Danio rerio: one gene and its partners. The protein of the gene in region 5 purifies or fractionates together with the protein of the main gene of each other region. This does not show direct contact. Links are inferred from orthologs where the notes say so. Each region holds a gene or a part of one and is shown on either strand. Other genes may lie near its edges.

Region 1 (3,500 bases), on a different chromosome or scaffold from region 5:
TAAAACTGAATCCTCATCTTTAGTCTCCTCCCAAAACCAAAATGAAGCCAAATTATTATCCGAGCAGTAAAAACTAAAAACCTACAGGTATCAGACAAAGCAAAAGAGAGTCGCTTTCCACAGCAAAGTCACGGCAAAACAAAATCTCGGCGTCGGATTTAGTGATGAGTGGACCGGCGGGTTTTGGAAATCTCCATACGCTTGTTATTGTTATCATTAATCCGCTCTGCTCTGCTCTGCTCTGCCAGTGTCTGTGAGTCTCAGAAATGAAATGTTCAGTCGGTGGAAAACAGATCTCCAGCAGACGGCAGCGGAGCCAGGCCGCCCGTCACATTCGGGAGCAGAGAAAGATCTGGAAGACTCTGGATGTGTGATTTCAGCTCCTTCCTCACTTGTGTGACACGAGCCAGTTTCTGCTTGTATTCCTGCAAAAACACACCGGATAAATCAACACACAAGGGCTGCACCATATTGGAAACATCTGATATGGTGATATTTAATTTTTCTGTGATAAATATTGCGATATGAAGTGTCTTGAAGAATATCTAGTCAAATATTACGTGCTGTCATCATGGCAAAGATTAAAGAAATCAGGTATAAGAAAAGAGTCATTAAAACTGTCGTTTAGAAATGTGTTGAAGAAAATCTTCTCTCAGTTAAACAGAACTTGTAAGAACTGGTAAAAATTGAGTTTAAGTGAGATTTTCCTTAAAGGAGAAATAAAGCACTCAGTCAAGTTTACTTTATTTTGTATACTTTAATGAAAATATATTAAACAAACTCGATTAATGCAACCATTTAGAACAAAATGGAGTGTTTTACTATAAATTTTAGACCTAGGGCGCCGCCAGCTTGGAATGTTGCTGTGTCTGACGTCACGGGGTTGGTTCCGTTCCCTCGGCTAAACATATACAGTAAAAGTAAAGAAGATTGTAAAGCCTAATTTAACCCAAAAGGTGAAGTTGTGGATTTGCTGCTGCAAATACAAGCATCAGATGTGTGTCTAATGTAAAGTTATATATATTTATTCTATTTTTTTTTTTCTATTTTAAGTAAAGAACGGAACAACCCTGTGACGTCAGACACCTCGACATTCCAAGATGGCGGCTCCCTAGGTCTAAAATCTATAGTTAAAAAACGCTGTTTTCTGCTAAATGGTTACAGTAATAGAGTTTAACATAGTTTCATTAAAGTGTAAATCCCATGTACAAAATAATATAAACTTGACCGAGTGCTTCATTTCCCATTTAAAACAAGCTAAATAATCTACCAATAAGGTAAGCAATAATGTGATTAAGCCAAAACAAGATTTTACTTACATCACTGGCTGGTTATTTTGCTTGTTTTAAGGAAAAACTCTCTTCATTGTCATTTTATTTAGGAAGACACGACAATAATTTCTATTTGTCTAGAAAAATTTCTCGATTTAAGAATTATTTATTTGGCATGCTTTAAGTTTTTTTTTTAAATGTATTTATTAAAATTATTATTATATTTTTTTATTTCTCTGATTTTGAGGTTTTCTTCTCTCTTTGCTTTTGGTTAAGTAAAAAAAGTTTGTTAATGTTTGTACAATATGATTTATAATAATAATAATAATAATAATAATAATAATAATACCTTTTATTTAGGTGCCTGTCTAGACACTCAAGGCCACCAAACAAGACAACAAGGACAGTCAGTTCAAATAAAAACACAATATAAAAGTCAATAAAATGCAAAAAAAATAAAAATAAAAATTGTTTTACACATACAGTTGAAGTCAGAATTATTCACCCTCCTGTATTTTCTTCTTTCTCTATTATTTCCCAAATGATGTTAAACAGATTCAGGAAATTTTCACAGTATTTCCTCTAATATTTTTTCCTCTATAGAAAGTCCTATTTGTTTTATTTTTGGCAAGAATCAAAGCAGTTTTTAATTTTTTAAAAGTCAACATTATTCGCCCCCTAAAGCAATATTTGTTTTTGGATAGTCTACAGAACAAACCACTGTTATACAATGACTTGCCTAATTACCCTAACCGTACCCTAATTAACCTAGTTAAGCCTTTAAATGTCACTTTAAGCTGTATAGAAGTGTCTTGAATAAACATCTAGTCAAATATTATTTACTGTCATCATGACAAAGATGAAATAAATCAGTTAATAGAAATGAGTTATAAAACTATTATGTTTAGAAATGTGTTGGAAACGATCTCTCTGTTAAACATAAATTGAGGGGAAAAAAAGATGTGTATGTGGTACCTCCAGCTTCTTCTCTCTTTCGTTGAGCGCGTCTTTCTGGCTCTGTATGTATTCGGTCAGCATTCGGGCCAGTTGTCTGCGGTCCTCCAGCTCCGCGGCCAGACGTCCATTATATTCAGCCAGCAGCAGACAGGCCTCGTCCACCGTCTTTGACAGCTTATCTGCTGCCTGTTTATCTGCTGACACAAACAACAACCAAACGAAGAGATTCATGCAAACCACAATGAGCAAGATAATGATCGAGTCAACACATTTCTGCTTTATATTAGTATATCCTCAAACACGTTAGCATTCACACGATAAACGCAAAATAGCCCCAATGTACATTAAACATTGAGGGTTTTTGATAATTAGCTTCGATGCATTGAGTAACACAGCTATAAGTGAATGAAAACATCCAGCTGAGGGTTAAATCTAAAAGTGCAGCATGTTTAAAACTATTGATTCTTTAGCAAAATAGTTGACTCAGAGTTACATATTACATAACCATTACACACTGTGATAAAGCCTGGTTTGTTAGTTCGTTGGCTCATATTGCTTTATCAATACAACCAAACTGCTCCAGAGTTCGTATCAACCAAGGCGAGACCATCTCATTCAGGCGATCTCAGTCCGACTGACTTGGTGCGGATCAGAACACGATTACACTATTCACATATTTCCAAACGAACTGAGCTGACAGGACAAACGTGCCAAGATAAGAAACAAACGGCTAGGTGTGAAAGCACCCTTAAACTTGATCTTAACCTGTTATCTTCTCCAGCAGAGAGACGTCCTGCACCTCCTGCGGAAGAGATGCGATCTTCTGTCTGACGGCGGCGTCTCCTGAAGCAGCGTTTTCTAGATCCTGCAGAGCTTTCACCAGGTCCTCCGTCTGCCAGATCAACACAATCAAGACATTAAGACTCAATCCCAATTATATTGTATAACCCCTACTTCAAATATACCCCTAAGAAATAGGACAGCACTACTACATCATCAAATGCCGTCGCAAACTCTTTCTTTAAATGAGATCGATGATGCCGACTGCTGTAGATTTTCCAGTTGTGCTCTTTTTTTTTGGTCTTTATCTTCAGGAAATCACCAAAAGCAACAATATTATGTTATCATATCGATACAATGCGGCAATAAGCTCATAACTGTACACCGTGTATTTACACCGTGGCCATATTCATCAATTTAAACACATAAACAACATTAACATTATAGCAGACACTGTATAAAGCCCATTCTCAGCCACTACACTTTTCTGAC
Region 2 (4,095 bases), on a different chromosome or scaffold from region 5:
TCGAGCCTCGGCTCAGTTGGCGTTTCTGTGTGGAGTTTGCATGTTCTCCCTGCGTTCGCGTGGGTTTCCTCCGGGTGCTCCGGTTTCCCCCACAGTCCAAAGACATGCGGTACAGAAGAATTGGGTAGGCTAAATTGTCCGTAGTGTATTTGTGTGTGTGTGTGAATGTTTCCCAGAGATGGGTTGCGGCTGGAAGGGCATCTGCTGCGTATTAAGCCGACAAGAAAATGAATAAATTAATATGAGAAAGGTAATAATATCTTTTACAATACAGTTTTTTTTATAAAGGCAGTTATTCCACAAAATAAATTTAAAAAGTTGAATATTTAAGAAAAGGACTTGATCTTATTTGATTATTCATTCATTTTCTTGTCGGCTTAGTCCCTTTATTAATCCAGGGTCGCCACAGCGGAATGAACCGCCAACTTATTCAGCACATGTTTAACGCAGCGGATGCCCTTCCAGCCGCAACCCATCTCTGGGAAACATCCACACATGCTCATACACTACGAACAATTTAGCCTACCCAATTCACCTGTACCGCATGTCTTTGGACTGTGGGGGAAACCAGAGCACCCGGAGGAAACCCATGCGAACGCAGGGAGAACATGCAAACTCCACACAGAAACGCCAACTGAGCTGAGGCTCGACCCAGTGACCTTCTTGCTGCGAGGCGACAGCACTAGCTACTGCGCCACTGCTTCGCCTTATTTGATTATTTTATTTTAATCTTATAGAAATAGTTGGCAAAATATGATTTTAGATGAACAACACATTCCAGAATTTGCATCTCATTTAGGAGTCCGCTACTGTCCATTTCGGTCATGGACACATGCTTTGAGAGCATTTATGAATAAAATATGCAATTTTCCATGAAGTCAACCCGGGGTGTTCAAATATAATTGGCTAAACTGGCAGTGTAATTTTCGGTAGCATTTGCTGCATCATCGTTAGAATTTATTTGTAACATTTTGTAACGGCAGAAATAAATATGCATTCACACATAATTATGGTTGAAAATGTCAACATGGGTGAGGCAGTGGCGCAGTAGGTAGTGCTGTCGCCTCACTGCAAAAAGGTCGCTGGGTTGCTGGTTCGAACCTCAGCTCAGTTGGCGTTTCTGTGTGGAGTTTGCATGTTCTCCCTGCCTTCGCGTGGGTTTCCTCCGGGTGCTCTGGTTTCCCCCACAGTCCAAAGACATGCGGTTCAGGTGAATTGGGTAGGCGAAATTGCCTGTAGTGTATGAGTGTGTGTGTGAATGTGTGTGTGGATGTTTCCCAGAGATTAGTTGTGGCTGAAAGGGCGTCCGCTGTGTAAAAAACTTGCTGGATAAGTTGGCAGTTCATTCCCCTGTGGTGACCCCGGATTAATAAAGGGACTAAGCCGACAAGAAAATGAATAAATGAAATGAACATTTTTAAAGGTGGCACATTAATTTTAATAGCTGTATGACGTGAGTTTCTCTGAAGTGCTCACTGGTGGTCTGGTCTTTGCTAATTAAAATCTGAAAATTAGTTTTTTTTCTTCGTCTGCTCAACCTAAAATAAATTAATTTAGATTTTTTATAACCAGACAAGATGGTCACTCTATAAAATACTGGCTTGTGTCAACCTAAACCTGAGGAAGTTTGTGTTAATAACTCCAGCATATTTTAGAATGGCTGTTTTGTGCTCATCAGAGCAAGCTAATACATGTTTTGTAGGGTTTAGTAACGTTTTTATTTATTTATTATTTCTATAAATGTAATTTATATAATTTTTATTCATCATTTGTTTGTTTCATTTAAAATTGTGCATGTACTATTCAGCCTTTTCCCATATTTTGTAATATACTGCATTTGTGAAGCTGCTGTGCTCCTCCTTTGTGATTTTAGTCTTATTTATTCATGTTTTCACACAATATAACAACACATCATTTTCTAAATTAAACTCTGTGCAAACATACCGAGTTAGTATCTTACCTCTAGAGTCTCTTTAGTCATGGGGTAACTTTCCAGACAGCATATCACATCCAACACAGCCACCATGTTCTGTATCTGCTGACAGGTAAAGGTTAAGTTCATGTCACTTCAGACTTTCAGTCTACATCATCTACATTTACTGCTATTTTCCTCTATACACTGAGGTCAGTTTCTGTGTCTTTTTCAGACATGAACGTTCTCATATATTTTCTCATATGTGCACCTGGAGCAGTCACACTTTCAGTCATCATTTGTGGTTTCAAATGCAAATCTGCTTGCACGCTCATTCCTGTAAAACTCTGTGAAATAATGTCTATAAAACTTGCTTTAAAAAATAAATCCCACAACAGATTGAGCAAACCAACAGTCAACATACATGTAAAAATAAAATAAAACCAGCCAATCTTTCCTTTTCAATGAAACAACCAATTTGAAATACTGTAGTGAGGAACTTTTGTCCTTTAATTTACCTGAATTAATTAAAGGAATAAAAACAGTCATGCTTACAAATGACAAAACTTTAAGACAAAACTTTCATAAAAAAAAATAACAATCAAGAACACATTTAGCATAAACGACATGCATTTAGAAGGACTTCCCATTGCATTACTCAGCTCTTACTCACATTGTTTTGAGCATCGACGGCCTGCATGAGCTGCTCTTTGAGCTGTTGGATACTTGAAGCTCTTTTCATTGTCAGAAAATGACACTTTTAAAAACGACGTCCACTAATAAATGTACAACAGCATGAGAACACAAACAATATGCAAAGCCCTTTTTAAACCTGCATCGTCGATATGAAACTACTACAGCCAGTCCCGTTTGAGCTCAACTCTCCGTGTCCACATATGAATGCAAATGACTTAAATGGTTTCAGCAGGTGCAAGATGGGCTTTTAAACATGATTTAAAGAAACACTGCACCTTTTTCAAGGCTCTCTTTACAAGTCTCCTAGAGTTGAACAGCTGACTTGAAATGTTTTTTTTTTTATCCATTCAGCCATTTCTTGCTCTGGCGGGGTCACTTTTAGCTTAGCATAATGAATTGAATCAGATTAGACCGTTAGCATTCACTCTAAAGAGTTCAATTTTAGTCTCATCAGACCAGAGAATTTAGTTACTTATGATCCAAGAGTCCTTTAGGTGCCTTTTGGCAAATTCCAGGCGGGGGGTAGCTTCTGTCTGGCTACTCTACCATACAGGCCTGATTGGTGGATTGCTGCACAGATGGTTGTCCTTCTGTAAAGTTCTTCTCTCTCTACAGAAGAACGCTGGAGCTCAGACAGAGTGACCATTGGGTTATTGATCACCTCCCTGACTAAGGCCCTTCTCCCCGATCCCTCAGCTTAGATGGCCAGCCAGCTCTAGGAAAAGTCCTGGTGGTTCCAAACATCTTCAACTTATGGATGGAGGCCGCTGTGCTCATTGGAACTTTCAGAGCAGCAGAAATGTTTCTGTAACCTTCCCCAGCCTTGTTTTTTGAGACAATCCTGTTTCGGAGGTCTACAGACAATTCCTTTGTCTTCATGCTTAGTTTGTGCTTTGACTTGCAAGGTCAACCCTGGGACCGTATATAGACAGGTGTATGCCTTTTCAAATCATGTCCAATCAACTGAATTGACCACAGGTGAACTCCAATGAAGCTGCTGAAACATCTCAAGAATGATCAGTGGAAACAGAACGTACCTGAGCTCGATTTAGAGTTTCACGGCAAAGGCTGTAAATACTGATGTACATCTGATTTTTCAGCGTTTTTATTTTTAATAAATTTCTAACAATTTCAAAAACTGTTTTACATTGTCATTATGGGGTATTGTTTGTAGAATGTTGAGGAAATAAATTAATTTAATCAATTTTTGAAAAAGGCTGTAACAAAGAAATGTAGAAAAAGTGAAGCCCTATGAATACTTTCCAGATGCACTATATAGGGTTAAAGGGCACCTATGGTGAAAAATCTACTTTTCAAGCTGTTTGGACAGACATGCATGTATAGTGTATAGACCGTCATATTGGGGTGATATAAACACACGGCCCTTTTTTTTTCCAATTTAACACTACAAAAATGGACCAATTGGAGCGGTTTTCAGAGCGACCACAACTTGACGTAGGAGTGCAGTTCCCCCGCCCACCAATATT
Region 3 (4,010 bases), on a different chromosome or scaffold from region 5:
ATTACTCTAACCTGCCTTTAAATGTCACTTTAAGCTGTATAGAAATGTGTTGAAAAATATCTAGTAAAATATTATTTACTGTCATCATGAAAAAAATAAAATAATAGGTTATTAGAGATGTGTTATTAAATCTATTATGTTTAGAAATGTGTTGAAGAAATCTTCTCTCCGTTGAACAGAAATTAGGGAAAAAATAAACAAGCGGTCTAATAATTCAGTGGGGGGGTTTAATCATTCTGATTTCAACTGTATTTCTTAGCCACACATTTTAAATAATGTGTCATTAATTTAGAATTTTTAAAAATGTTAATAAATGTATTTTAATGTTGAATAAATTCTAAGTGTTATGGAAACAAAAAAGCCGTATAAAAAATTTTGCAGGTATTTTATTGCAGTTCTAAATGATTTAACAGAAGGTGGCTGCTTTGCCTAAATAACGACAAACTGCAAAACCTTGCTACATTTTTTTCAATGTGTTGTACCCACATAAATGTCTGCTTCCAAGACATTAGCCTCAATTTGATGTTGCTGTTTCTTCACTGTACGGGTTGTTGCCAAGATGCAGACAAAAAAAATGTGCTCACAACATCCAATCAAGCAAGAGGAAGCGAAAAACAATATGGTGTTTACAACATCACAGAGAAGGTATCATTTAAAGGTTTAAAACACACAACTGTTGATTCTAAGAATTTATTTGCACGCAATTGACAAATACTCAAAGGCAAAAAAAGTTTATTTTGTTTTTTACTCAGACATTTAAAAAGAGCATATTTTAAAACAGTAATCACAATACTGCAAAACCTCCCATCAGAATCCTATTTCAGCCTATCCCTTTTTTATACATAAACGCAGATTGTCCTTAATACTCAGCTTCATATTTTCAGGATTAGAAGAGACTGAAGATCTTAAATCTCCTATAACTACTCTGTAAATATTTAGCATTTTTTAAAGATTCATTTTAACAATGAACTCTGTGTGTAAGCTTTATCTGTTTTATATAGTTTGTTTTGCTTATTTAAGCATGTTCTGCATTTAATTCAAGTAATGATTTAAAAGTAAAAATTGTCAAGGCGTCACGTGATTCCAATAAACATGAACTAAAGAAAATAGCACTACCACTAATACTACTACTGCTAAAATAATAATAATAAAATATTATATTTATATATAATGACGACAAAACTCTCATTTCAGTATCAAGGCTGTTTTTGTAACACTGAGCCTGAAAGTCTTTTACATCTATTTCGTACTTGTACATTTTCTGATGATTTTTGGAAACAGGTTTCAGGGTTGACTTTTGATTCATTTAACAAAATAATTCACTTTGACGAATGCATGATTCTTTTTCTAAATTGTAAAACTGGCTATGATACACTCGATACACTCGATAATGAACATTTTTCTTGGGAATTTTCACATATACAAGGCAAAAGTAACGTCTATTACTCCCTCCTTTATTTTTTTTCTGTAAAGATTTAAAAATAGTTTATAATTCTTTGACCTCAATTACATGAAAGCTATAAAAACCTCTCTAATAACGAAAAAAATCTAAACAATCTAATAATTTAAATATGATAAAGCCCCCATATATATAATGTAGTTTTTTTTTAATGTATGTTTTGCATCACTAAGTTTTGTATGACTGTTGTATATGTTATCATATAATCCTTTATGCTTTGTCAGTTATATGCATTAATAAAAATAACTAAAATAATACTTTTCTGGGCTGCTTAATCCCAAAACTTCAAACTTTTTTCAACAACCATGTGGTGCAAAAAAAATAACAATAAGGCACGTGGAAATCCTGGATGACTCTGCACGCTTCTCTTCCACTACTAACGTTAGAGTTCTCTGAATTATTCAGACCGCCTCCATGCTTTCAACGACACACCCTCACTCCAAATCTCCGCCCTCTACAACCGTACCAGCCAATCCGAATGCACCAAACTACAACGCACCAAATGACTGACAGAGAGAGAACGTTTCTGATTGGGTAAAAAGGGCGGGCCGCTCCCCCAACTCTTGTTTTGCCATGTATACACAGAGTTTAGGGGTTATCAGAGCTTATCTCCCAAGATATAATCAGTCATATTTTTCAGTTAATACGAACATTTTATGCCTGGTATAACAACAATCCCGTAAAACACCTTTACATGATATTAAACATGTTTACACCGGGCGCGTGGAAGTTGAGATGCTGCTGTCACGAGCTCAGCGTGAGCGCCAGTGCGCGTGCCACTTTAGCTTAGCGCGAGCACGCTCAGCTCAGAAGCAAGGGTTGGAAATAAAAGCGTAAATGTCAGCCGTGAAATCTGGGATATCAACGGGGTCATGAGAGCGTGTCTTACCCAGGCGCGATGACCTGCCCGAGCTGACAGCACAGTTCCTGCACAACTCCAGCGCGGTCCGACTTGAGCTTCTTTTCGGGCGCTCTGGACTCGCTTTCGGCGGGGATCGGCGCACATACCGCGATCACGGAGTCAACGTTGACCAGAGCTCCGGGTTTCACCTTCCACTCGAGCAGCCGCAGGGGACGAGCTCCTGCGGGGCAGCGGATCTCCGTCACCTGCACCACGGGGCCCTCTGCTGCCGCACCGCCGCCGGAGTCTGCAGGCTCCTCCATCAGGGCTTCAAACTTCAGTCAGAGAGCCGCAGGAAGCGCTTGGGGAGAGTTAATAAAAGTAGTAAATAGCTCTGAAAATAATCCAGAGGCGCGCAGGGAAATGAAGAGATAAAAATGAGCTCTGTTGCAGGACAGGCTGAGACGCAGGTTCACTCTTCCCGCCCGTAAACAGGAAACACAAGGCTGCAGCACGAGCGACACTCTATCCACTTCCGGGAGACTTTAATAACCCTCTTTAAAAAAAAAACTGTCGTTACCCTAGAGTATTCTGTTTTAGTTTGTAATAAAATAATGACAACATTTATGCGCATAAATATTTGGCTAAATATTAAAAAAAACGCGTGAGAAATAGATGAAACATTTAAAGTCAAACTGGTGAAACAGTTACAGTCAAACTGCTGCTTCAGAGAAAATCTGACTTAAGCATTTATAGCAAACTGTTTTTATGCGTCCCCTCCCCCGTTTGAGACAGGCAAACCCCTGGCTTGTGATGTAATCTGATGAAATATCATCATCACACCATCCGCTGTCAGGGGATTAGACCGCGCGTCATCGCAGCATGTAAACATTTAGCTTCATGTGAGGGAGTGATTTCACTTTTGTTTTATTTCGGCTTGAATGTAAAACTTACTCATTCATTTAAAAAGTTACCAAAGAGGATTACTCATTTTGCTGTATATTTCTTTATTACATCAATCTTTCAGATAGCATGGACTCACAGACAGGATTGCACTTGTCCTATGTACAGAGGCGGATATAGTGATTTAGGGGCCCTAGCATTGAAACTTAAAACAGTTTCTTTAAAAAAAAAATAAAACTTTATAGATATTTTTTTCTCTTTATATTCAGGGTTGTGTGTGTGTGTGCGTATAAACTGCATATAAAATTAAATGAAGTAAATTCACAAATAAAAAAACAAGCTCACAAGCTATGTACAGTTAATTAGCCTTACTTGTGATTTGTGATTAGATTTTAATATTTTCTATTAAGTGCAGTATGAATGGAACGTTCCACTTTTCATGGGGGCCCCTGGTTTAGAAAAGAAGTAATAATGGTAAAATCTTAATGGTTCTGAACAGATTTTACAACATATGATAGAAAAAAATTGTAAAATAGCTTTAGGATTATTAAAATAGGCTTCTTGGCATTAGCTGGGAGCCCTTTATTTCCCTGGGGCCCTAAGCAGTTGCTTACCTTGTTGGTTAAGTTCACCCCAGCTATGTACAGTTGATGTCAGCCCTTCTGAATTATTAGACCTCCTGTATATTTTCCTCAGTTTCTGTTTAACAGAGAGAATACATTTTTTTCTTTCTAAAAAGTTTTTATTACTAATTTCTTATAACAGTTCTTTTATCTTTGCCATGACAGTAAATACAGGCCCGTAACC
Region 4 (4,254 bases), on a different chromosome or scaffold from region 5:
CCCCACATTGAAATGGTCTATAATTAGACTGTTTTTGTCCAAAGGAAACTTCATTCTTCAAAGAACATTTCTTTACAAAATATTACATATTTTAGACCCAAAACGTTTCAAATATACTAAAACTATACAGTAAATATTTACTATTAAATAAAATATGTTAGTATTTATGTTTAGACTGTGTATACTGAATAAATTTCATTAATAATGTTTTAAAAATTCAAATAAACAGTTTTCTAGTAATAAATTAATTGACAATTAAATTAACAAATACACTACCTCTCCTCCTTTCGAAGCCAAAGTGGAATCTTTGATATCTGGAGCTCAAAACTTTTGGAGGCTTTGTAGCAGAAATTACTGCAAAAGCACTGGGGGAAAAAACACACACAGAACAACTAATTAATCTCCAATCATTAATAAAATACAGAAAAAAAGAGAACAATTAAAGAAAAACACACCTTACGCTCTGTAATATCATAGACTTTATTTGTCTTGGTGGATATTTTATATTGTTGAGTGGGCACCTGGAATTAGTATAATACCATTAATAAAAAAGAAAGAACAATAACAACAAAGAAAAAAAAAAAACTGAAGTTTTTTTAGTAAATTTCGAGTGTGAGAATTCACAAACTTCTTACATTAGTTAATTTATTTGGGCACATGGGATATCCACACAGTTTAGCAATGGATCGTTCTTCCACAGTGTCTTTGTAGTTGGCAGGAGTGATGTGCCAGGCCTAAAGTAGAACAAAAAAAAAAGTAGGACATTCTCTCAATGGATCACAACAAATAATTTTAAATATCCATCTGAAGTGTTTGGAGGCTAAATAAGTGCCTTACACAGTCCATGAGGAACTCTTCTGTCACGCTGTCCTCCAACAGCCGCTCAACCACCTGCCGGGCTTTACGCTCCAACTCAAGCTTCTGTCGGAGTTGTTCTTTAACAGCTTCCCTCCTGCAAACATTACACTTTATATCAAAGGTTTTAAATATTTTAATTTGCAATGTGAAAGCTCAAAAAAGGCTGTACTTTCTTTGTCAGCAGAGGCAGTTCAACCTTCCAAAGGAGCGGCTGAAACAGTTCTACATTTCCATCATTGAAACTAAAGTCCACTGCATTTCAATAACTGTCTTGTTTAGCTCAGCTACCAAATCTGACCTCTGAAGACTACGCTGAATAGTTTAGTCTGCTGAGCGAATCACTGGTACAATCCTCCCGACTTTACAAATACTGTACTTATCCAAAGCGAGCAGAAGGGCTGCCAAAATCACTTTGGACCCCTCACACCCAGCACACAGCCTCACCCTGCCAACTTTTAACTTCTGGTCAATGCTACAAAGCACTATGCACCAGAACAGCCTGACACCGAAACAGTTTCTTCCCTCAAGCAATCTATCTTAGGAGCACTTAATGATAGTACTTGTGAAACGAACATCACTACTTGCTATACACTTTTTATACACATACAGTGCATCTGGAAACTATTCATAGCGCTTCACTTTTTCCACATTTTTTATGTTACAGCCTTATTCCAAAATGTTCTTGCCATAATAAATTATATATTTGTAGAGCAAGCCATTTTCTTTTGTCATTAATATTTTAACAAACTTTAGGTAAAAACCATTTATTGCAGATGAGTTGGAATACTATATCTCTTGATTGTGAAAATTGCAACCATCTGTTAAAAGTCATATTTTTCAACATTTTTGCAATTGAAATCTTCAATACTCAATATAAAATCATGATTTCTGAAAACTACAAAAGTTTCCAGTTTTAGTAATTTCCAAAAATCTTTTTTTTTTTTTTTTTTTTGCAATTGTACTCTTCAAAACACCATATCAACACGATATCTCAAAAATTAGGAAGTTTTGGAGTATTATTTAATATTTTTGTCTATTATGTTAAAGTTAGTAATTAACTATAAAGAGCACCTGCAGATCAGCTACTGGCATTTGAAACAGCCAATTATTTTTTGTAGGTATCGCCACTTTTTATGTTGTTTGTCTTATATTCTTGTCTGATTTTGACCTGCTCCTGCATTTACCCCAGCTATTTGTCTGTTACTTTCTTTATATGTGATGCAGAATTTTCATCCATACTCCAAGCATTGATCAACTCCAATATTTATAAATTTTCTAATCTAATCTAAAGCCATCATGTCATCAAGTAGACTTTTTACAAAGCATTTTAAAAATACAAGAAACTAAAGTATTTTGATACAAAATATTAAGCCTTTTTCATGAACCTAATCAAAGGCAAATTACAAAATACTATTGTATTTAAAATACGTATTTGAAATACATGCATCACAAATACTTCCCATCCCCGATTGTAATAACTAACGTATAATAACTTAAGCCAGTAACTGTTATGCCAATGTACTATACATTTTATATTACATATTTATATTTACATATCTATATTTTATATTACTCACAAACCCTTAACGTTTCATAAGCGATTAAAACTACAGTAAACTAACTAGTCAGGCTTTCTAAAGCCAGATTCAAAGTTAGTCCAGATATCTTTAATCTAGATGTAATTACTACTCAAAATCAAGTGCAAGTGCAAGTGAAGTTAATGCACACCTTTTCGCTTCATCCTCTGCTGAAATAGCTTGGGTTCCCTTTCCACCTAAAATTCAGATTAAACGTACAAACATTTTGTTAAAATTCAAACATATAAATGAAAAAGTCCATGTAACTTTATATATATACCACACCTTTCTTCTTGGACTTTGAGGGCCGACTCTTTCTTGTCACTTCACCGGCATCCATGCTTGTTTTATCAAAACAAAACTCCTTCCGCTTACATCGGAGCACTACGGCAAGCCGTGTGTGACACGCTTCATCCAGCACAATCCGCTTCAGTTTCTAAACATGCGACGCTGCTTGAAGTATAGAACCTGAGTAAGCGCGCTCCTTCAATTTCTATGTCGTTAAGTAGACCTATATAATATTCACAAAACAAAGCAGTAGCCTAGCTTAAACAAAACTACGCGAACGTTTAGTTCTCCTCTCTCTCAACGAACTCAAGTCCTTTAGAGCATTTTAACGTTAGCTATCTTGCTAATAACTAACCTACAAGAAGCAGTTTGACATCTCTTTGAGGACGAGTGAGGTCCATTTATGAATGTTTTGCTTTTATCATCTCGATATGTGTTATTCTGTGTGTGTGTGTTTAATGATGATTGAGTTGGACTGTGTGTGACAGTGAACTGCTTTTTATGAAGATGTCATGATTGATCGTGACGTCAGTGCGAGCTTGTCTTTGCACCATCACTGCTTTAGTATACTGCTAGAGTGACTGTAACATCACATTATCTTCATACAGAAGGCGTTTCGGAGCATCAGCATGGCTCTAGATCAGCTCAGTGATATGGTCCAGAGATGTGTAAGTGTCTTAATGTGTGCTCCAGTACACTCGCATTAAATCACCTGCAGTCATTTACGTGTGTATTCACTCTTTTTGCAGCAAACAGTCAAGGATGAAAGCTTCGCACCAGAAGATTACGATTTGTTCACTGCTGCTGGAAGTACTTGCATTGAGCAAGGTGACAGTGCTCAGGTTCTCAGCATCCTAGTGGACGAGAAGAACCAGGTGAACTTTATACAGTAGCATCTAACCCAAACTCTACTTTGTGAATTATCTATGTACTGTAGAAGATGCATTAAAGGAACAGTTAACCAAAAATGTAAAATTACCCCATAATTGACTCGCTTTCAAGCCATCCTTAATGTTTACTCTTCATTCAGATGAACAAGAGTAGTTTTAAAGGGGTGGTCCACTACGATATCATAATATAAACTTTAGTTAATGTGTAATGTAGCTATGTGAACATAAACAACATCCCTGAATGTTATACGCTCAAAGTTCAATGCAAAGCGAGACATTGCTTTTACAGAGTTAGCTTAGCAAAGCCTACAGGGGACAACAAAAAAATACATCCAGGTTAATGAGCTAAATGCTTCAGGTTACATGCATTTACATCATGCAGCGAAGGGGTGTGGCCAAAGGCGCTGTAATGTTATAGCAGAGAAAGCTAAAATGCCGTCCAAATTTCCTCAGAGCTTGTTCTGTTTCTGCATAAAGAGAATTGTTTACAATTTAACTTAAATATGTTCCAGAAAATTATAAAAAATAAATATAGCTAGCATTTAACAAAGGACAGCTTCTAGAATCTCTCTTAGTTCAGTGCTGGATTTGGCTAAAAACTCCTCAAAGGAGAAGCAGCTCCAACCTTTATAGACTAAGCT
Region 5 (3,500 bases):
CAAACTCCCAGCAACAAGCAATGTCAAAACCACATGTACAGGATAATAATCTAATTATAGACAATATTAAACCTCTTTAACATTAGTAAAAGCACATGCTGAGTGACTGATGCTCGTTGGTCTGCACACCATTCTAATGTTCATTTTTAAACCATGTTGGCCAGTTAGATTATTTTCAAGATCTGACAAACCTCCGCTGCTGCTTACAGTGAGAAATCAAATGTCATGCAAAATCATATTTAAGCCCATATTAATAGTATAAAGCACATAATCAGCAGCTGAGGTGGTCATTATAGCAGGGGTGGCCAACCCTGTTCCTGGAGAGCCACCTTCCTGCAGATTTCAGTTGCAACCCATATCAAACACACCTGTCTGTAATTATCAGGTCCTAATTAATTGGTTCAGGTGTGTTTGATATGGGCTGCAACTGAAATCTGCAGGAAGGTGGCTCTCCAGCAAAAGGGTTGGCCACCCCCTGTTATAGTAAGCTGCGTCCCAAATGGCACAATATACACTTTGCACTTATGCACTATGTACTTATGCACTTACACACTCAACAGCATAGTGTATGTATGTAGTGTCGACCCAAATGGCATATTAATGTTTTTTATTAAGCGGAAATTCAAACCGTTCCCCTGATGATGTTTGACAGTTGCCAAATCAGTGAAATAAACGACCGAATTATCAAATAATACCTGCCGCGAGTATTGCCGCATTCACCATCGGGAGGCGCTATAATCACTCTCGTAGAAGAATTTTGCTTTTACAATCCGAAATAAATTTTGTTATTCAACATGTGCGCCCGATAGCTCCGCCCCTTCCGCTATGTAAGCAAACCTGCGGTCGTTGAGTGTGTGAAGTGTCCATCATTACACACTTCACTTTAGCAGCTGAATGAGTGCATCATCCGGGTAATTAAAGTGCACTTATTATTGTTAGAGTTTTCAGTGTGAACACACTACTTACACTATTGATACTACAAAATGGCGTGGAATAGTGCATTAGTATGCGATTTGGGACGCAGCTGTAGTTTATGCTGTTATTCAGCCGTGATATTGCATAAATAGAAATGGATATCTATTTCAAATAAACGTGTTTGCATGCAGAAAATGGTTTCCACAAAAACAAAGCAGCAATGTTTTAATAATCAGAAATGATTTCTAAATTTGTGCTTTATGAAACTACACTATAAACCCACACAGATGCGTTCTTTTAAATTAGAATTATAATTCACAACATATTCAGTGTTTGAGCATATCAGATCAGATCTTAAATTTATAGTTAACGTCAGCTTCATTGACTATCTTCATGGCAGAATAAATTCAGAATAATACAAATACAAAAAAATCCACAAACACAAGTGATTTATCAGACTTAATAATAAATATTTCTCTTTAAACTCAGGCAGAGTATTACTGAATGATTCTTTAAGTGAGTTTACTTCTTGAACAAATGTTTTACAAATATAAAAAAGGCCACTGAAATATGTTTGTTTAGACTTAAATAAATGCAACTAAATAAACACCGTTTTACCCTAGAAAGTAAGCCTTCTTGGTCTCGCAGAAGTCTGACACACCCACATGCGGCAGCACCTCCTTCTGCAGAACCTCTTTAGCGTATTTAATTCTCCTCTCTTTAGTGACTCCAGGTTTGGCCCCTCTGGAGCCGATGAAGTTCAGAGCCACGTTCTGCTCCTGAATCACAAACGCCTCATCCAGAGACGGCTTTACCTGTGGACAGACAGTGGAGTACGATTGAAGGTAAGTGTTGGTATTTCAGTCTGTCCTTTGTGTTATATGTGATGCACCATACCCTGTCAGAATGAATAAACCAAGGGGATTAATTACGCTCTAAACTAAACTGTATATTACTGCACAGCGCTCATGTGACATACCATTTCCATCATCTCCGGATCATCGAAGTCATAGATGATGTGCTCCAGAATGTCTCTGTCAGACACGAATCCTAAAGCGCGAAACACGATGATGATGGGCACCTCCTGCCGGATATACGGCAGCGTGGAGACGATCCTCTGACCGATGGCACTTTTCTTTACTCCCTGAAATATACAGAAATAATTGCAGAAAATTCAACACTAGCTTGGTTTCCATTACCCTGTGCTAATGCACATATTGAAGTATTAAATGATGCCAAATTTTAAACAAAAATCTCTTATTCATAAAAAACATTTTTACACTTGTTCAAAGTGGTTTTGGAATTGTGTGAAAAGGGTTAAAGCTCCTGAATGTACATAGTTTACTCCTGTAAATCATTAAAATTCAATAATATGTTTGCAGATATTTCAGAATCATGCTAAGTGACCATATTTATCTGTAAAACCATGCTAAATCAGGTATCCTGCTCTGAAAATGTGCGTTCTGTCTGGGAATGTCTGTCTTTGTTTTGATCTGTAACTCCGCCCACTGCCACTTTAACCAATTATATTTCAGCACAGCAGGTTGCCAGACGGTGGAAAACAGCGTAATTTAATTCAGTCATGAAGGCTCTAAATTAGAGGTGTGCAAACTCGGTCCTGGAGGGCCAGTGTCCTGCATATTTTAGTTCCAACCCCAATTAAACACACCTGAAACAGCTAATCAAGCTCTTACTAATTATACTAGAAACTCACTTGGACAGGGAGGTGTGTTGAGGGAAGGGGAAGTTAAACTATGCAGGACACCGGCCCTCCAGGACCGAGTTTGGACACCCCTGCTCTAAATGTATGCGGATGCAGATGAAAATGCGCCCTCTGGTGGACAGAAGCAACTGCAGAAATGAGAGACTCGAGTCTCATTCACACTACGAGCAACTCGCAGCAGCAAAGCGATAAGCAACTGTTCATTTCAATGAGAAGTGAGTGACTTCCAGCAACCTACGCCTACACGAGCGACAGTGACCGTTCGCGACCAGGTGGGTGTGTCTAGCGATGTGACAAAGTTGAGAATCCTTCTTGAGCGACAGCCAATAGGAGCACTAATAGAGCTCATGTGATCCTCTCTCAGCTCGCTCAGAGGCCGGTTGTATTCTCCGTGCTGTAGGCCTGCGTTTGCAGCAGGTCGCCACCAAGAGCGACAGGCAGATACCAAGTCACAGCTAGTGTGAATAAATCAGAGTTAAAAAAAAAATCCCTGAGGTGGTTTTAACCAGCAAATAATACACATATTACAAAGGTAACATTAGCAGGGCAGTGTACAGTACAACGTTGAGTTCACAGTAAACCTGAAGCACCGCATCACTCGCTCTAGTTTACTCACGGATGTTTTTCACCTAAAACTAACTTTCTGCTTAGTTAAAAATTGATTTGAATTTGTGTAGAAGATGCCATTAGGACAAACTCCACACTTTCACGATAAATGCACTGCAAATTATGCCTCGTTCACTGCCTCCAGATGGAATGGTTGCTTCATATGTAATTACCAGAGTGAATACTTCATTTTAGTTTTAGCTCGCTCCTGTTAGTGTCGTCAATCTGGCAACCTGCATGTGCTTCAGTCTAAAGG
Region 6 (3,424 bases), on a different chromosome or scaffold from region 5:
GTATGTACGATGTATAATTCAAAATGAAACTTATCTAACATGTAATTAAGTAGCTATTTGGGATGAGCCATATTTTTCAGCAATCAACATCAGAAACGAAAGAATTCCAATAAAAAGTCACATTTGAAACTGACACAATTCCATGAAGAAATAAAGATCGTATTGATTTGTTTGAAGAAGCTGCAGAGAAACAAAATTTTCCTACCATTGTAGTAGATTGCAGAAACACTTTGATTGACATTCTCCCTTTGTACGTGTCATCAAAGGGGGGAAGCCCCGCCCACTAGTGCCCATCTCTCCTTCATTAACGTAAACAGCAGCCCTGAGTGAGAAGCAGCCGTCTGTCCATTAACCAATAGAGTTATTATAGTTAATGAAAAACAAAACAATCATTTACGTTTACTTGAAATAAAAATAAAAAACAAACGTTTATAAAAAACAAAAACGGACTGAAACTGTAATGTGAACACATTAAACTGACTGAAACTAACCATTCGTTTTCGTCTTTGTGAATGTATTTAATACATAAGCCTACTGTAAGCCTTTTAGAAGTGAATATTTACTTCGCGCTGCAGGTGTTTGACCCGTACAGCACCTCAGAATCTGTAATACTGCTGCCATTGGCCAGATCAAGCCTGTCCTTCTCCAGTCATCCTCACTATTGCTCCTGTGACAAAAACAATATACATATTGATATGATGTATTGTGCATTATTGATGTTTAATAAACATACTTTTCAATATTCTAGATAGAAAAATCCAAGCCAATCAAGTGTGGGACGTTTGGAGCCACGTCTCTCCAGCAGAGGCATCTGGCCACCGGAGACTTTGACGGAAATCTTAACGTTTGGTAGGAGCCCGCTGGATGTGGTTATGTTTGTGGTTATCTATTATGTTGTTATTTAAAGTGCAGTATTGCGTAATCTTTGCTCTTCAGGAATCTGGAAGTGCCCGACAGCCCGGTGTACTCAGTTAAAGCACACAAGGAGATCATAAACGCCATTGACGGAGTGGGAGGACTGGGCATCGGGGACGGGGCTCCAGAGATCGTCACTGGAAGTAGAGACGGTAAATAGGCGGATTTCTGCAGACGAGAAATCGCATGCAAATGTCAACAAAGCTTTCACCCTTTCTAAGTGTTTTGCAATTGTGTAAACTACTCAAAAATGTCTCTGTCGGTGTTTTCAAACTATTATTTTTGATTTACCAAAGCCAATTTCACATCTGTCTCATGCATAACAGAGAGACGTCACATCCATAACCAAGCTTTTTCCTCATACATGCAAAAATGTCATGTAAAATAAAATCAATCATGTTTGTTCTACCGTATATTGAGACAACTCTTCTCCTTTTGATTAGCATTCTTTCTTTTGGGTTGTGCAGTTTAATTCACTGAATGTCTACAAAGCATGTTGTATTCTGTAAACTCGCAGACTTTTTTTGGTCACATCCATAATGCATGATTATTTCCCTCATTAAAAATATAAAATATGTTTACAGATTGCTATTTGTCTGATCTCATAACTCTTTAGTGAGTTGTTTTGGTACACATAAACAGATGTTTCGATATAATGTTCACATATACTTACTCTGTGAATTTATATTTCGAGTTTTTACTGCAAATGTCACAACCATAACGCTGGAATTGCTCTGATACACATATTTATAGAAAACTGACTGCGCTTAGAAATGTTTGCGCTTCGGATTTTGATTGCGTGTGGTTTTATTAATAGGCACAGTGAAGGTGTGGGACTCCCGGCAGAAAGACACGCCGGTGGTCAACATGGAGCCCACAGAGGGAGAAACCAAGAGGGACTGCTGGACGGTCGCTTTCGGTCTGTGATTGTTAATCTTGCGTTACACACACACACAAGAGTTAGTTCATGAGTTAATGTTTTATTCTTTTTCAGAGTTTTACGTTTGTTTGCCCTTCTTTCTTTTCTTTTTTTACCAACAAATTAGAAATGGTCATACAAATCTTTTAAAGCTCGTCTGTTTAAGTGGTCATCAACTGGTTTTGTTATCGACAGGACTCATATTTTCCCGGTTTTCTTTTTCCAATTTTCCCCAAATGATGTTGAACAGATTCAGTGTTTCCTCTAATATTTGGTCTTCTAAAGAAAGTCTGATTTGTTTTATTTCAGCTAGAATAAAAGCAGTTTTTAATAGTTTTAAAGTCATTTTAAGGTCAATATTATTCGCCCCTTCAGCAATATTAGTTTTGGATTGTGTGCAGAAATCAATTCAATTCAGCTTTATTTGTACAGCGCTTTTACAATGTAGATCGTGTCAAAGCAGCTTCACATAAATGGTCATAGTAACTGGATCAGGGTGGTTCAGTTTTTACTGTTTAAGAACAAACCACTGTTATACAATGACTTGCCTAATTACTCTAACTTTACCCTAATTACCCTAGTGAAGCCTTTACATGCACTTTAAGCTGAATACTACTGTCTTGAAGAATATCTAGTCTAATATTATGTGCTGTCATCATGGAGAAGAGGAAAGAATTCAGGATTTGATAACCCTGGCCTCCTTTACACCTTATTTATTTACACTTATTAAGATTCAGTTTAATTAATTTAATCACAATCTCAAGTCTGGACACGCATTTGAGCCAGTTCACACGCTCACACACCACAGCTTTTATTTCTCACGCTTAAAAGTCACCGGTCCCTCCAATATTGACTGAAGATCAGCATTGGGTTTTCTTTCTTTTTATGTGTATTTTCAGGGTTTCTGCAAGTTTCACCAAGTCAAATTTAAGCCTTTTCAAGAGCATCAATAATGAAATTTCAGACTTGTATAGGGGTAAACACTACTGATGTTTAAAAACATTTAAAAACTGTAATTACTATTGTTTAATTAATTATTTCTTAGCCGCATATTTCATATAATGTGCCTCTAGTTCTATACATACTGTTTTTTCAACAAAAACTCTTTAAATCTTAGGAAACTAAAGGCATGCACAACAGACTGTTATAATATTAGTTATAAACAGAGATTTACTAAATGTTTTGTATGTGTTCTGACTAAAAAACACAGAGTAAATCTCACACTTTGCCTTGCTTTTTTTCCTCTAGGTCATGCTTTCAATGATCAAGACCGCTGTGTGTGCGCTGGATATGATAACGGCGACATCAAGCTGTTCGATCTTAGAAACATGTCTTTACGATGGGAGAAGAACATCAGAAATGGGGTGAGTGTTTATAATATTCAGTGCACATTTTTAAAGGCCTCCCAACAACAGTGGATGCATTTAAACAGAATTATGAAAATATATTATTATTATTATTATTATTTCCCAGAGATGGGAAAAGGCTGGAAGGGCATCCTCTGTGTAAAAGATATGCTGGATAAGTTGGCGGTTCATTCCACTGTGGCGACCCCTGATTAATAAAGGGACTAAGCTGAAAAGAAAATGA

The links.
Region 1: the proteins of polr2b (region 5) and rprd1b purify together in Homo sapiens (affinity purification with mass spectrometry; 4 studies listed by BioGRID and IntAct, counting the BioPlex papers as one, with this or other methods). This does not show direct contact. The link is inferred for Danio rerio from reciprocal best matches to the Homo sapiens genes POLR2B and RPRD1B.
Region 2: the proteins of polr2b (region 5) and mediator of RNA polymerase II transcription subunit 26-like purify together in Homo sapiens (affinity purification with mass spectrometry; 3 studies listed by BioGRID and IntAct, with this or other methods). This does not show direct contact. The link is inferred for Danio rerio from reciprocal best matches to the Homo sapiens genes POLR2B and MED26.
Region 3: the proteins of polr2b (region 5) and ctdp1 purify together in Homo sapiens (affinity purification with mass spectrometry; 3 studies listed by BioGRID and IntAct, with this or other methods). This does not show direct contact. The link is inferred for Danio rerio from reciprocal best matches to the Homo sapiens genes POLR2B and CTDP1.
Region 4: the proteins of polr2b (region 5) and rpap2 purify together in Homo sapiens (affinity purification with mass spectrometry; 3 studies listed by BioGRID and IntAct, with this or other methods). This does not show direct contact. The link is inferred for Danio rerio from reciprocal best matches to the Homo sapiens genes POLR2B and RPAP2.
Region 6: the proteins of polr2b (region 5) and dnaaf10 purify together in Homo sapiens (affinity purification with mass spectrometry; 3 studies listed by BioGRID and IntAct, with this or other methods). This does not show direct contact. The link is inferred for Danio rerio from reciprocal best matches to the Homo sapiens genes POLR2B and DNAAF10.

Annotation. Positions count from the first base shown.
Region 1 is NC_133198.1:46,851,370-46,854,869, forward strand, and holds part of rprd1b (regulation of nuclear pre-mRNA domain-containing protein 1B), read right to left. Parts: intron 3,121-3,500; coding exon 2,994-3,120; intron 2,426-2,993; coding exon of another isoform or gene 2,423-2,425; coding exon 2,247-2,422; intron 426-2,246; coding exon 276-425; 3' UTR 1-275. UniProt on the Homo sapiens protein: Interacts with phosphorylated C-terminal heptapeptide repeat domain (CTD) of the largest RNA polymerase II subunit POLR2A, and participates in dephosphorylation of the CTD by RPAP2. Transcriptional regulator which enhances expression of CCND1.
Region 2 is NC_133186.1:5,668,140-5,672,234, reverse strand, and holds the start of mediator of RNA polymerase II transcription subunit 26-like, read right to left. Parts: upstream 2,801-4,095; 5' UTR 2,655-2,800; coding exon 2,586-2,654; intron 2,039-2,585; coding exon 1,961-2,038; intron 1-1,960. UniProt on the Homo sapiens protein: Component of the Mediator complex, a coactivator involved in the regulated transcription of nearly all RNA polymerase II-dependent genes.
Region 3 is NC_133194.1:12,947,668-12,951,677, forward strand, and holds the start of ctdp1 (RNA polymerase II subunit A C-terminal domain phosphatase), read right to left. Parts: upstream 2,801-4,010; 5' UTR 2,624-2,800; coding exon 2,349-2,623; intron 1-2,348. UniProt on the Homo sapiens protein: Processively dephosphorylates 'Ser-2' and 'Ser-5' of the heptad repeats YSPTSPS in the C-terminal domain of the largest RNA polymerase II subunit. This promotes the activity of RNA polymerase II.
Region 4 is NC_133177.1:11,243,061-11,247,314, forward strand, and holds the start of rpap2 (putative RNA polymerase II subunit B1 CTD phosphatase rpap2), read right to left. Parts: upstream 2,801-4,254; 5' UTR 2,776-2,800; coding exon 2,721-2,775; intron 2,633-2,720; coding exon 2,587-2,632; intron 953-2,586; coding exon 838-952; intron 735-837; coding exon 636-734; intron 522-635; coding exon 456-521; intron 366-455; coding exon 277-365; intron 1-276. Other genes in the region: glmna (glomulin, FKBP associated protein a), read left to right, coding at 3,127-3,132, 3,332-3,391, 3,473-3,598.
Region 5 is NC_133189.1:58,465,461-58,468,960, forward strand, and holds part of polr2b (DNA-directed RNA polymerase II subunit RPB2), read right to left. Parts: intron 2,060-3,500; coding exon 1,895-2,059; intron 1,731-1,894; coding exon 1,534-1,730; intron 1-1,533. UniProt on the Homo sapiens protein: Catalytic core component of RNA polymerase II (Pol II), a DNA-dependent RNA polymerase which synthesizes mRNA precursors and many functional non-coding RNAs using the four ribonucleoside triphosphates as substrates.
Region 6 is NC_133188.1:1,040,948-1,044,371, forward strand, and holds part of dnaaf10 (dynein axonemal assembly factor 10), read left to right. Parts: intron 1-748; coding exon 749-849; intron 850-936; coding exon 937-1,067; intron 1,068-1,732; coding exon 1,733-1,834; intron 1,835-3,082; coding exon 3,083-3,198; intron 3,199-3,424. UniProt on the Homo sapiens protein: Key assembly factor specifically required for the stability of axonemal dynein heavy chains in cytoplasm.